3 linked regions of the Macaca fascicularis genome follow. The protein of the gene in region 2 interacts with the protein of the main gene of each other region in a pairwise test. Links are inferred from orthologs where the notes say so. Each region holds a gene or a part of one and is shown on either strand. Other genes may lie near its edges. The genes, in order: CAPN3, OSGIN1 and BCAR3.

The links.
Region 1: the proteins of OSGIN1 (region 2) and CAPN3 interact in binary tests that used the Homo sapiens proteins (3 or more experiments, as listed by UniProt). The two-hybrid records come from large-scale screens. The link is inferred for Macaca fascicularis from reciprocal best matches to the Homo sapiens genes OSGIN1 and CAPN3.
Region 3: the proteins of OSGIN1 (region 2) and BCAR3 interact in binary tests that used the Homo sapiens proteins (3 or more experiments, as listed by UniProt). The link is inferred for Macaca fascicularis from reciprocal best matches to the Homo sapiens genes OSGIN1 and BCAR3.

What each region holds. Positions count from the first base shown.
Region 1 is NC_088381.1:18,956,299-18,960,709, reverse strand, and holds the start of CAPN3 (calpain-3), read right to left. Parts: upstream 2,926-4,411; 5' UTR 2,622-2,925; coding exon 2,313-2,621; intron 1-2,312. UniProt on the Homo sapiens protein: Calcium-regulated non-lysosomal thiol-protease. Proteolytically cleaves CTBP1 at 'His-409'. Mediates, with UTP25, the proteasome-independent degradation of p53/TP53.
Region 2 is NC_088394.1:79,837,210-79,840,801, reverse strand, and holds the end of OSGIN1 (oxidative stress-induced growth inhibitor 1), read right to left. Parts: intron 1,844-3,592; coding exon 898-1,843; 3' UTR 578-897; downstream 1-577. UniProt on the Homo sapiens protein: Monooxygenase catalytic activity. Involved in regulation of cytokinesis; promotes RHOA activity, probably acting locally at the midbody in late cytokinesis.
Region 3 is NC_088375.1:140,814,808-140,818,453, reverse strand, and holds part of BCAR3 (breast cancer anti-estrogen resistance protein 3 homolog), read right to left. Parts: intron 3,226-3,646; coding exon 2,783-3,225; intron 1-2,782. UniProt on the Homo sapiens protein: Acts as an adapter protein downstream of several growth factor receptors to promote cell proliferation, migration, and redistribution of actin fibers.

The sequences.
Region 1 (4,411 bases), on a different chromosome or scaffold from region 2:
ATATGGACACTGCCCAATCTAGTACCTAGAGCATAACAGGCCCTTAAAGCATTTTTATTAATTTGTAAGTCTAGCTTGTGACTCAAGTTCACCAATGATTTCACTGAAAATAGTATTTGTAGGTTTTAATTTTACCCATTCTGAGAAAGGGCTTTTATTTCTTTTTTTTATAGAGATAGGGTCTCACTATGTTGCCCAGGCTGGTCTCCAACTCCTGAGCTCAAGTGATGCTCCCACCTCTGCCTCCCAAAGTGCTGGGATTACAGGCATAAGCCACCACGTCTGGCACAAGAAAGGGTTTTTAAGAACTCCCTGCCTGGGAACGCAGGACTATCCTGTCTCACCGGTCAAGGCCCTCGGGCATGGGTTTTCATTCACCAGCATCAGCTGAGTACCCACTATGGGACTGGCCTGAACTTGGTGAGTGGGCCTCAAAGATGAACAGGAAGAGTCTCTGCTCTCAGTGAGAGGAAAACAGTCATGAGAAAGATTGAAGGAAGTGACACCTGAGCAGAGTTTCAGACAGGAACAAAAAGGGCATGCCAGGCAGACAGACAGCATGAGCAAAGGCCTCCGGTGTGAGAAGACTTGGAACCACAGAGCAGCTAAATGTCCAAGCACTGCTGGTGTGTCAGGATCTGCGAAAAGAGGATGGAGATGGGCCTGGATAGGTAGGCAGGGACCAGCTGAGAAGGGCCTATGGCTTGGCTAAGGAGTTTGGATTTGTCCTGAAGGCAGTGGGGGATTTGTCCTGAAGGCAGCCGAGAGAGGGATGTCACTGAAGATATTTCAGCAGGGGGTTATGACGTGTCCAACTACTCTGATAGCAGAGCAGTGTTATCTTCTAAACTGAAGGCCTGCAGGACAGTTATGGGCCTTACCATAGAACCAAGAAGAGCACCTATGGAATACATGGGGTTGTGGAGTATTCCACCTCAGGTTTGTTGTTGTTGTTGTTTGAGACTGGGTCTCAGTCCTGTCACCCAGCCTGGAGTGCAGTGGCGTGATCTCAGCTCACTGCTGCCTCGGACTTTGTGAGTTCAAGTGATCTTCCCACCTCAGCCTACAAGTAGGTAGGACCACAGGCATGTGCCACCGTGCCTGGATAATTTTTTGAATTTTTAGTACAAAAGAGATAGATTTTTGCCCTGTTGCCCAGGCTGGTCTCAAACTCTTGGGCTTAAGCAATCCTCCAGCCTGGGCCTCCCAAAATGCTGGGATTACAGGCGTGAGCCACCACGCCTGGCCCATCTTAGGTTAAAGAAAAACATGACTAATGAATAGTATCAGGTGTCAGGTTGCCATCGTTTCCTCAGGAAGGGTTTCTCTCCCTGGACCAGGTTAGCTCTCCTTGCCACATGATCCCGTGGCACCCAGAACATCGTCTCCTGACAACGTCACTCTTGTTCAACGCCCATCTTCTCTTCAGGACCCTAGGTTCCAAGACAGCTTGGATTTTGGTTTTTCTTACTCACTGCTGTCCCCCCAGTTGCTTGTCCAGTGCTGGCACTAGTAGATGCTCAATAAATATTTCTTGAATTAAGAACAAAAGTCACACTGGAGGGATGATCAGAGAGGCGAGCCAGGGGAATGTGATTTCCCTCCTGGTGATCACTATAAATGAAACCCAGAGGCTGGGAGAGTTTCCTAAAAGAGAAAGTTTTAATCCAGGCTCTGTCATGTGCCCACTGGATATATTTCGCTCTGGTGTGCCTTGACTCCTCGCTTATGAGGTGAGGTAGGTGGACAAAAACGATTGCTAGGTCTCTCTCTCTAACCCCAACATTTTATGCATGAAAAAATATTCCGTGCTTATGACTCTCTTCTTTCTAGGGTTGCTATGTTTCAGAAAGATATGGCCACTGGTAAATTAAAGAAGAATAACATCATGATTTTAGCCAGAGAAACTAAAGTGATCTTACAAAGATGAAAGGTATTTAAAATGAAAGGGTAGATCTGGGCTCTCTGGAATTTGTTCTGAGAAAGGAATATTTTTACAGGATGAATTAAACTGAGTTCCAACCACTTTTATAAAAAGCAAGATTTTTTTTTTTTTTTTCAGAGAGAAAGAGTCAGAGCATGAGAATCAGCCCCACCTCCCCCGCTCTCCCTCTGGATTTTGCTGAGATTTGGTGAAATATCTGAGACCTGTTCCTCTCCTCCCTGCTTCACACTTAAGGACAGAGCCCAGCAAAATTGCTGCCAGGATCCTTCCCCCATTGCCCATGTGCACAGCTGAGCTGCCGGAGGTGCTGAGTGGGAGGACTCCTCCGTGGGGGGAAAACCCAGCAAGTAAGCAGGAAGTTACTCACCGGAGGTCTCTTCCAGATGAACTGGATGGGGAACTTCTGGCTATAAAAGAGAGAGGTCTCATCCGGTGGGAACTCGGGGTCCACATAAAGAACTTTCTTTTCTAGACATTTCTTGTGAAGCTGCTCGAATGTCTTCTCTTTCACTCCGATAATAGGAAAATTGCGGCTGATGATGGCTGAATAGATGCCACTTGCGTTTCCACCCCCAGCCTCGGTGGCCTTGCTCTGAGCCGGGTGAGGAACTGGCCCTGGGGACCTTGGCTCAGCCGCTGTCCTTGGAGCCACAGATGCACTAATGACGGTCGGCATGGCAAGTGGCTTTGGAAGAAAAAGCTTTTTAAAGAAAACAAGATACAGCTACCTTCAAGGAAAGGAAGCAACTGCAAAGGGGAAGTTAGAGTAATTCTGTCATCTGAGAGAAAAGTGTCCACATCCAGTTCGAAGTTGAAAGCCCATCAGAAGGTCGTACAGGTTATGTCCATCTTAAAAACCGAGCTGTGATTCTGAAGCCATAAGTTCTCCTGAGAAATGAGTGCTAAAGGATTTCTGAAGCAATGTTGACCTGGGGTCTCCTACCAGCAGCATGCATGCCAGAGGGAGAGAGAAAGAGAGTGAGGGTTGTGTTTCAGTGGCCTGAAGATGCTTGAGCCAGAAAAACTAAAAATAGATGTGAAGAAACACTGTGAGTATGAGAGCAAGAGAGAGGAGAACCTGGCTAGGGACATCTCTGTTGCCATGAAGTGCTGGTGTTGTCAGAAAATGAAAAGGGAGTATCTGAGTAAGGTGAACACTGGAAAGAAGCTGAGAACTGCTGACATGTTATTGAGTAGGCAGTTATACAGACCACCCAACTACTGGCCAACAAATGAATGGAAAACAGTATTGCAAAAAAGCTAGTTAGGGTGAACGAGAGGTACTGAATTCTAGGAAAATATTCTGTGAATTTTAGAGAACATGATTTTTAGTCCTAAAATTTTAGGATATCAGAACATTATTCAATGTTAGATTTGGCATCTTTTCTAGAATGTTCTTGGGTCAGCGTTTATTGGAAATGTCTGCATGGAAAATGCTACTCAGCAGAGTCCTTGGTTGAGAAAATCCCTGCCTGTACCTGCAGACTTGACCTTGCCACCTCTTGTCTCTTCCCATCCCCAAAATAAACACTGGGACTGAATCTGCTATAAAAAGTGTACCTGCCGGGCGCGGGGGCTCACATCTGTAATCTCAGCACTTTGGGATGCCGAGGCGGGTGGATCACATGAGGTCAGGAGTTCGAGATCAGCCTGGCCAACAATAGTGAAACCAGTGAAAACACATAAATAAGACAGGCATGGTGGTGGGTGCCTGTAATCCCAGCTACTTGGGAGGCTGAGACAGAAGAATCGCTTGAACCCAGGAGGCAGAGGTTGGAGTGAACCCAGATTGCGCCACTGTACTCCAGCCTGGGTGACAGAACGAGACTCCATCTTAAAAAAAAAAAGTGCACCTGAGCACAGTAAATCCCCAGTGTCATCAATAGGTTCTAGTAAGCTTGTTTTGGTTAAAGTCACAGTTTACAAGAACCTATCAACGATGTTAAGTGAGGACTTACTGTATAGGTTACATGTTGACTCATTCAGCCATGCCACATTAGGCATCTGAGACAGAAGCTGGAACTGGATACTGAACCAGACTGCCTGTCAAGCCCTGGGATGTCACACCTGGTTTCAGGGCTCTTAGATGAGAGCATAAGTGGCTCTGGGGAAGGGAAGTGCCTGCCTGGCCTCCACCTTGTCTTCTACCCACAACAGCTGCTCCCTGGGCTGTAAGGAGATGACCACATTTCAAGTATGGCAGAGTGGAGGCATGTCCTAGGCTGTAGTCATGCCTGTTCCTATGCGACCAGTCTCAATAATCGAAGATTAGAGGCTATGGAAGAAGGTGGGAAGTGACAGGTAAAATAGGGAGTACTATCAGCCTCCTGATCCCTGGGATTGCGGCATTGAAGAACTCTTATGTCTGGGCTTGCAGGAACCATCAGCCTAGCCTTCTGTTCCTCCAGGAAAACGCCCAGGGCTCTTTACTAGTCTTGGAGAGGCAGAATAGAGGACAGCGGTCTC
Region 2 (3,592 bases):
GACTCTGTCTCAAAAAAATAGAAAAATAAAAACTGAACTGCTATGAAAAGGTAGCACCTTGGACCATGAGAGGAGTCTTTGCTGCGATGGCAGTGGAGGGATTTGTGTCAGAAGAGGCTTCCTAGAGGAAGTGATTCTTACCCTGAGAGACCCCAAGGAAGAGGAATTAAAGAAAGGCGGGAAACTGTCCTGGGCTGGGGACCCTCTGTGCAAAGGCCCTGCGGCAGGCAGGGACCTGGCCAGCAGGAGGGACTGAAAGGAAGCCACGTGGCAGAACAGAGAGGAGAGGGGACAGACTGCGGGGGGGGGGGGGGCAGAACTGCAGTGCCCTCCGGGACACCACTCCCTGCACACACCCGCCACTGCCACCCCCAGGCTGTAGTACAGCTGCCCGCTCAACTGCTCCCACACTTGGGGCACCATCCTTTGTACCCCAAGGCCCCAGTCATGGACCTCATCCAGGACCACATGCCCCAGGACTCCTCCCCCAATCGCCTTCCCTCCCTTCCCCCGAGCCCAGTGCAGGGTCCCGGGAACACAGCTCCTTCCCTGAGCACAGAGTCCTCAGACGCATGAGTGCAGGTGGGCACTGGCTTTATTTGGGACCTGCTTCTGGAAGGCGCAGGCCTGCAGGTCTCCTGCTGGGTGCTCAGCTGGTCCTGGTGATCCCAGCTCACACCAGCAGCTTTACCCCCAAATCCTAGGTCTAGGCCGACCCTGGCCTGCGGCCACTGTTACCACCTCAGACACTGGGATCCCTACTCCTCTTGACCCCAAAGGTCAGCTATGTGGGCTGACGCCCCTCCCTGGGGCATCTTTGGACGGACCCTACATCCAGCAGAGATGTGGTCATCTTTGTCCTCTCAGGGCCTGGGAGCCAGCAGGTCTGGCCGGGTGTTAGGGTGGCTTCCTGGTCTCCTTCCTTAGCAGGGAGCTGGCCACAGCCAGGGCTCCCCCCTGCACAAACCTCACGAAGTTGTCCCCGGCCAGCGGCCCCATGGCGTACAGGCCCTCCTGGCGGGTGCTCTGGTAGGTGAAGGGGTCCACGTCAATGGGGTTCCTCTTGGTGCTCAGTGGCTGGTCAGGGTCCACTGCAAAGTCAGCCCCTGCCCCAGGCAGGAAGGAGAGGTCGGGGTGGGAGCCGATGAGGACCAGCACCAGGGAGACCTCAAACACCTTCTCGACACCCTTGAGGTCCTGGAACACGGCCTGGCAGTCTTCCTTGAAGCACAGCAGCCGGTGCCCGGGGAGGCTGCGGTAACCCTCGTAGGGGCTGGGCGACAGGATGGACTGCTCCCGCATCATCTGATGCACCTTGTGGTACTCAGGGTACAGCATCTTGGGCAGCTGGTTGAACACCAGGCCAGGGTCGTCCACAGCCCGGCGGAAGGCATGGATCACGGGGATGTTGTAGTGGCGGGCGTAGAGGACTGCATCAGCCGCTGACAGCCCCGCGCCAATGATGAGGACAGGGTCCGAGGCTGGGGTCAGCGCACCCACCCTTGTGGCCGCCTCCAGAGCGGACAGCTCATGGTGGATGAAGGGCAGGGCCTCCCCGGGGATGCCCAGCCGGGCTGGGCTGTCGAACGTGCCTGTGGCGAGGACCACGTTGCGGGCCCACAGCGAGAAGGGCTGCCGGCCCTGGTCCCTGCTCAGGAAGCCGCTCACCTGGAAGAGGGGGCTGGAGTCCTGGGCCCCACAGCTGTTGGGATTGGGCGTTCCCCACTCCACGGCTGTGACTACAGCACCGGACACAAAGTTATGCCCCAGACCCTTCTTGACCACGTAGTCCCTGTAGTAGTGGGCAATGTCCCCGGCCGTGGCCCGGCTGTTGCGAAGGCCTCTGTTGGGGAGGATGCAGGAGGCCAGAGTCAGACACTGTTAAGGGTTGGGGGGCTGGGTGGGATGGGAGAGGTCCAGGGCGGTATCAGGCCCTGGAGCTGGACTAGGCTGTAGCTGTAGGACTGGGCCAGGTAATTCAACCTCTCCAAGCCTCAGTCTCCTCTTCTGTAAAATGGAGCTAACAAGGGTACCTCCCTCAGGAGAGGTGGTATAGGGTAGTGTAGGGTGGTGTAGGGCGGGGTTCAGAGTGCAGCCTCCAGAGCCACACTGCCTGGGCTCGAATCCTGACTCTGCCATCAGGGAGCTGTGTCTGTTTCCCCAGTTTGCAAAATGAGGAAGATGTTGGTGGCAGGACCTATTTCGTGAGGTTGTGGAGAGGATTTGGTGAGCCGATAAAAACAAAGGGCTTAGGATGGGCCACCATGATTGTCACCTCAAAGGATTAAATATGGTATGATTCCGTTTTTATATAGTTCAGAAACAGGCAGAACTCATCTATGGAGTTGGTCATCAAGAGAGGGGTTACCTCCGGGGATGGGGAAGGGGGTCCTGCTCGGAAAGGGCATGGGGGCTTCTGGGAAGAAGGTCGGTTTCTTGATTCTCTGTGCTTACCTTGAGAAATTTCATCAACCGGTACTCACAGGAGTTACGTACTTTTCTATATGTAGCTAATTTTTTAAATTTTATTTTATTATTATTTTTTGAGACAGAGTCTCACTCTGCTGCCCAGGCTGGAGTGCCGTGGCGTGATCTCAGCTTACTTTGGCCCCCGCTTCCTGGGCTCAAGCGATTCTCATGCCTGTGCCTCCTGAGTAGCTGGGACTACAGGCATGCAGCGCCAAGCCTGGCTAATTTTTGTATTTTTATTAGAGATAGGGTATTGCCGTGTTGGCCAGGATGGTCTCGAACTCTTGACCTCAAGTGATCCACCGGCCTCGGCTTCCCAAAGTGCTGGGATTACAGGCTCGCATCACTGCACCCGGCCCATATGTAGTCAATTTAAAAGTTGATTTAAAGACTCCCACGTGAGGCACTCGCCATCATTCCCAGCCCACACAGCAGCAGGAGGTATTTTATTATTGTTGTTGCTGTTTTAATTGTCACTCTTTCCAGGGGCAGTGACTGCAGGCCCATTCTTGTGGGGGTTGAATGACAGGCTTTGGCATCATCCTAGCACCTTCCTGTATCTCACTGTGTGACCTTAGATGAGTTAATTTACCCAGCTTGTGGGCTCATGGTTCAGGATGAACTCCCTTATGGGAGAATCCTGTGCCACCTGCTGTCTGGCTACATGTAGCAGGAGCTGACAATGGACCTCCAAGGCCGTGCCAGTCAACCCAGCGCAGCTCGTCTGTGACCCTGGAATTTATCTCTGTGGGCCGCCATTCTCCTTTTCTCAGTTTTTGTAAAGGTTGTGATACAGAACGGTCCCAAGAGCATGTTCTGTGCGGAGTTATTTATAATAATGACACAATGGAAAGAATGAACGCTCCAGGGCTGGCAGGGGCTGGGTAACCTTGGCAGCGCCGTGAGGGCAGGGGGTGTGTCTGCGGTGGTTTTGTGCTCTGATGTCTAAGCCCAAGGCCTGGCACATAATAAGCATTTGGTGATTTGCCGGACTGGGGATGCTCACCCGCCTTTGGGAATATTGTGAGGCCACGTAAAAGGATGGTTTTGAACGCTGTGACATCGCCACATGAAATGCTTGGGATAGAATGTGAAAACGCAAAAGTAGGCTATAAAAGGCTGT
Region 3 (3,646 bases), on a different chromosome or scaffold from region 2:
GTAAACAGTGCTGCAACAAACATAGTGCAGGTTATCTCTTTGATATATCTCTTTGATTTCCACTCTTCTGGGTATATACCCAGCAGTGGGATTGCTGGATCATATAGTAGCTCAATTTTTAGTTTTCTGAGGAACCTCCAAACTGTTCTCCATGGTGGCTGTACTAATTTACATTCCCACCAACAGTGTAAGACGGTTCCCTTTTCTCCACAATCCTCACCAGCATTTGTTATTACCCGTCTTTTGGATATAGGCCTTTTTAACTGGGGTAAGGTGATATCCGTTATAGTTTTGATTTACATTTCTCTGATGACCACGTTGAGCACCTTTTCATATGCCTGTTTGCCACTGCAGCGGCATGATCTCGGCTCACTGCCTCCTGAGTTCAAGCAATTCTCCTCCCTAATAGCTGGGACTACAGGCATGCACCACCACACCTGGCTAATTTTTGCATTTTTAGTAGAGATGGAGTTTCTCCATGTTGGCCAGGTTGGTCTTGAACTCCTGACCTCAGGTAATCCACCTGCCTCAGCCTCCCGAAGTGCTGGGATTACAGGCGTGAGCCACCATGCCCAGCCCATTTGTATGTCTTCTTTTGAGAAATACCCATTTCTCAAAAGAGCAAATCTTTTGCCCATTTTTAAAATCAGATTATTAGATTTTTTCCTATAGAGTTGTTTGAACTCCTTATATTAATTTTCATATTTTTTGTAGAGATGGGGTTATGCCATGTGGCCCAAGCTGGTCTCGAACTCCGGAGCTCAGGCAATCTGCCTACCTTATTCTCCCAAAGTGCTGGGATTACAGTTGTGAGCCACTGTGCTGGGTCTGAGTCTGACATTCTGCTCCCCTCCAGATAATAATTATCACGAGCATTTCCCTAGCATCTCCTATGTGCCTGCACTGTTCTGAGCACTTTGCATATATTAAATCATGTACACCTCACAAGCTCCATCTTTCCAGATAAAGAAGGTGAGGCCCAGGAAGGTCAAGTCGCTTGCCTATGGTTGAACAGTTGCCCAGTGTGGAACCAGCATTTGTGCCTGGCTACCAGGTCCCCAGCCAGATGCTGACTAGCATGTGCCAGAGCCTCCAGGCAGCACACAGCTGTCATCTGCATTCCACACAGAGTCCTGTATTTTCCTCCCGAAGTTTTGCAGTATAGAAATGACAGTTTGTGACATTTCCTCATGGACCAAAAAGAAAACCAGTGAGTAGAATAAAACATGTTGGTTTACGTGCATAAGATTAGAAGCTGGGAGACGGCTCAGGCTGCTGTGTGACTGAGGGGCTGGACTGGATCTGTGTTCTTATGCCTGCCTTTTCTCTCGTTTCCTTTCCCAGTGCTTTTAGATAATATGCACAAAGACTCTGAGCTCCATGAAAGATCGGCCCTATACAAATGCAGCCCACCATCGCTGACATTTGACAGCTGGGTGCCTAGGATCAGGGAGGCCTGATTTGAAGCCCTGATTTTCCACCAAGTGCCCCGAATCCTTCTCTTCCCCCATTCCCTGCGATTCAGAATACAGCCCCATGCTCTCTGCATCTCCTATCTTAGACATCTCATCTGTTCTCATCAAGTGAACCACCCTTTCCATGTGGACCAAGCCCTAATTTAAGTTTTCAGCCCTAACTCATCGCCTGGACCCCAAAACTGCTGCTGGACTCTGGCACTCAACAAAACCACATCTTCCAGCTCAGATGAAAAAGTGTGTTTTGGCCGGGTGTGGTGGCTCAAGCCTGTAATCCCAGCACTTTGGGAGGCCGAGACGGGCGGATCACGAGGTCAGATCGAGACCATCCTGGCTAACACGGTGAAACCCCGTCTCTACTAAAAATACAAAAAACTAGCCGGGCGAGGTGGCGGGCGCCTGTAGTCCCAGCTACTCGGAGGCTGAGGCAGGAGAATGGCGTAAACCGGGGAGGCGGAGCTTGCAGTGAGCTGAGATCCGGCCACTGCACTCCAGCCTGGGCGACAGAGCGAGACTCCGTCTCAAAAAAAAAAAAAAAAAAGAAAAAGTGTGTTTTATCCTCCACAGTGCCCTTCCTCCTGGTCACTCCTGTGGTCTCCAATGTGCCCTCCTCTGACTCTACCACGTGCAGAAGAGTCCTGGGAGGCCAGGCTCCTGCATCTCTCAACTCTCCCTTCGCTCCACTCCTGCAGCCAGGGCCCTCCATGACTCAGTAACTGGGTTTCCTGTTCCTGTCTCACTCCTCGCCCCCAGTACATTGCTGTCCATTTCTATTCTTAGGACACCGTGTTCACTATGCTGAATCTGTGCAGCTCCCTCAAAGCCCTGCACCTGGCATTAAGGCCCCCATGATATGGCTGGGGCTACCTCCCTAAGCCGACTGCTATGGGTCCCTTGCACAGACCCTTTGTTCCAGCCCCATCAGCACACTCACTGCAAGCTCTTCATGGCATTTTCTGTCCCCACACTTATGCCCATGCTGTGCCTCCCACCTGGAACACCCCCTGCCTTTTACAGCATCTATCCAAATTTCCCCCAGCCGTCAGACCAGCCTAAGCCTACCCCCTTCACAAGGTCTCCCCTGTAAGTGCCCCCACAATCCTTCCTCAGCTCCTGTACCATTCATTGCTGGCCCTGCTCGGCTAGGAGCTGATCGTGCACTGCCTCATGACTGCTATTCCGCGAACAGTCAGCATCCCTATTAACACCTTTTATTTCTCTGTTCCATGATGAATTCTTCATCTGCCTAACTAACCTTGGGCACCCCCGGCGCCCCTCATAGTCCTGAGGAGGAGACCCTGACCTACCTGAGGAGGTTTCCCCTGGGCAAATTCTGCTCTCGGGCCTGGACGCCACCCATGGTGAGGCTCAGCCTCTTGGTCACGTCTGGCCTTCCCTCGGTGAGGCTGCCCTCCCGGGCCTGGCCTGGGGAGATGCCATAACGCTCCTCCAGGCACCGCAGGGGCACCGTCCTGTTGATGGGCTGGAAGATGATGGCGCCACTCTGCTGGGAGATGGGCCGGCGGTTGCCCACGTAGCAGCGCACCAGGCCAGGGATGGAGTCGAAGCTCTCCATCTCGAACTGGTACTGCACGCGGCTGTAGGCCTCGCTGAGCCGCAGAACCGTCCGGTTGATTTTGAAGTGCTGAGCGAGGTTCTTCCACTGACAGGTCAGGACAAAGTTCCCAGGGCTGGACAGAGAGTCACGAACTAGGAAGTCGCCATCTCGCTGCACAAGGTTTTCCGACACCTTTGGGACAAAAAGGTGAGTGAGGGGTAGGAAAGGCAAATTCACATTCCTTCTAAAAGCTTATGGCTACCCACTTCTCTGGGCCAACAGAAGACAATGCTACTATGTCTCTTCTTGGGCCAGTTCTTTAGTTTTTCAAATAGCAAATTCATAGGAGATCCAATCATTCATTCAAGAACTGTTCATTGACCACCTACTCGTGCCAAGAACCACTGCAGGCTCAGGGGATGCGGTGGTGACAGCGGCACCGAAGAGCCCAGCTCATGGAGCTCCTGGTTTTGGTGGGAGCTTCTGTTTGAGTGAGGATAAATAACCAACAGCTATGCACGCCAGTTGTAAGCTCAGGGAAAAAGTGAACCAGGAAAGGAGGCAGGGAGTGCTGGGGAGGGGATGAGGGCTGTCCAGTAAAACAGGGTGGTTG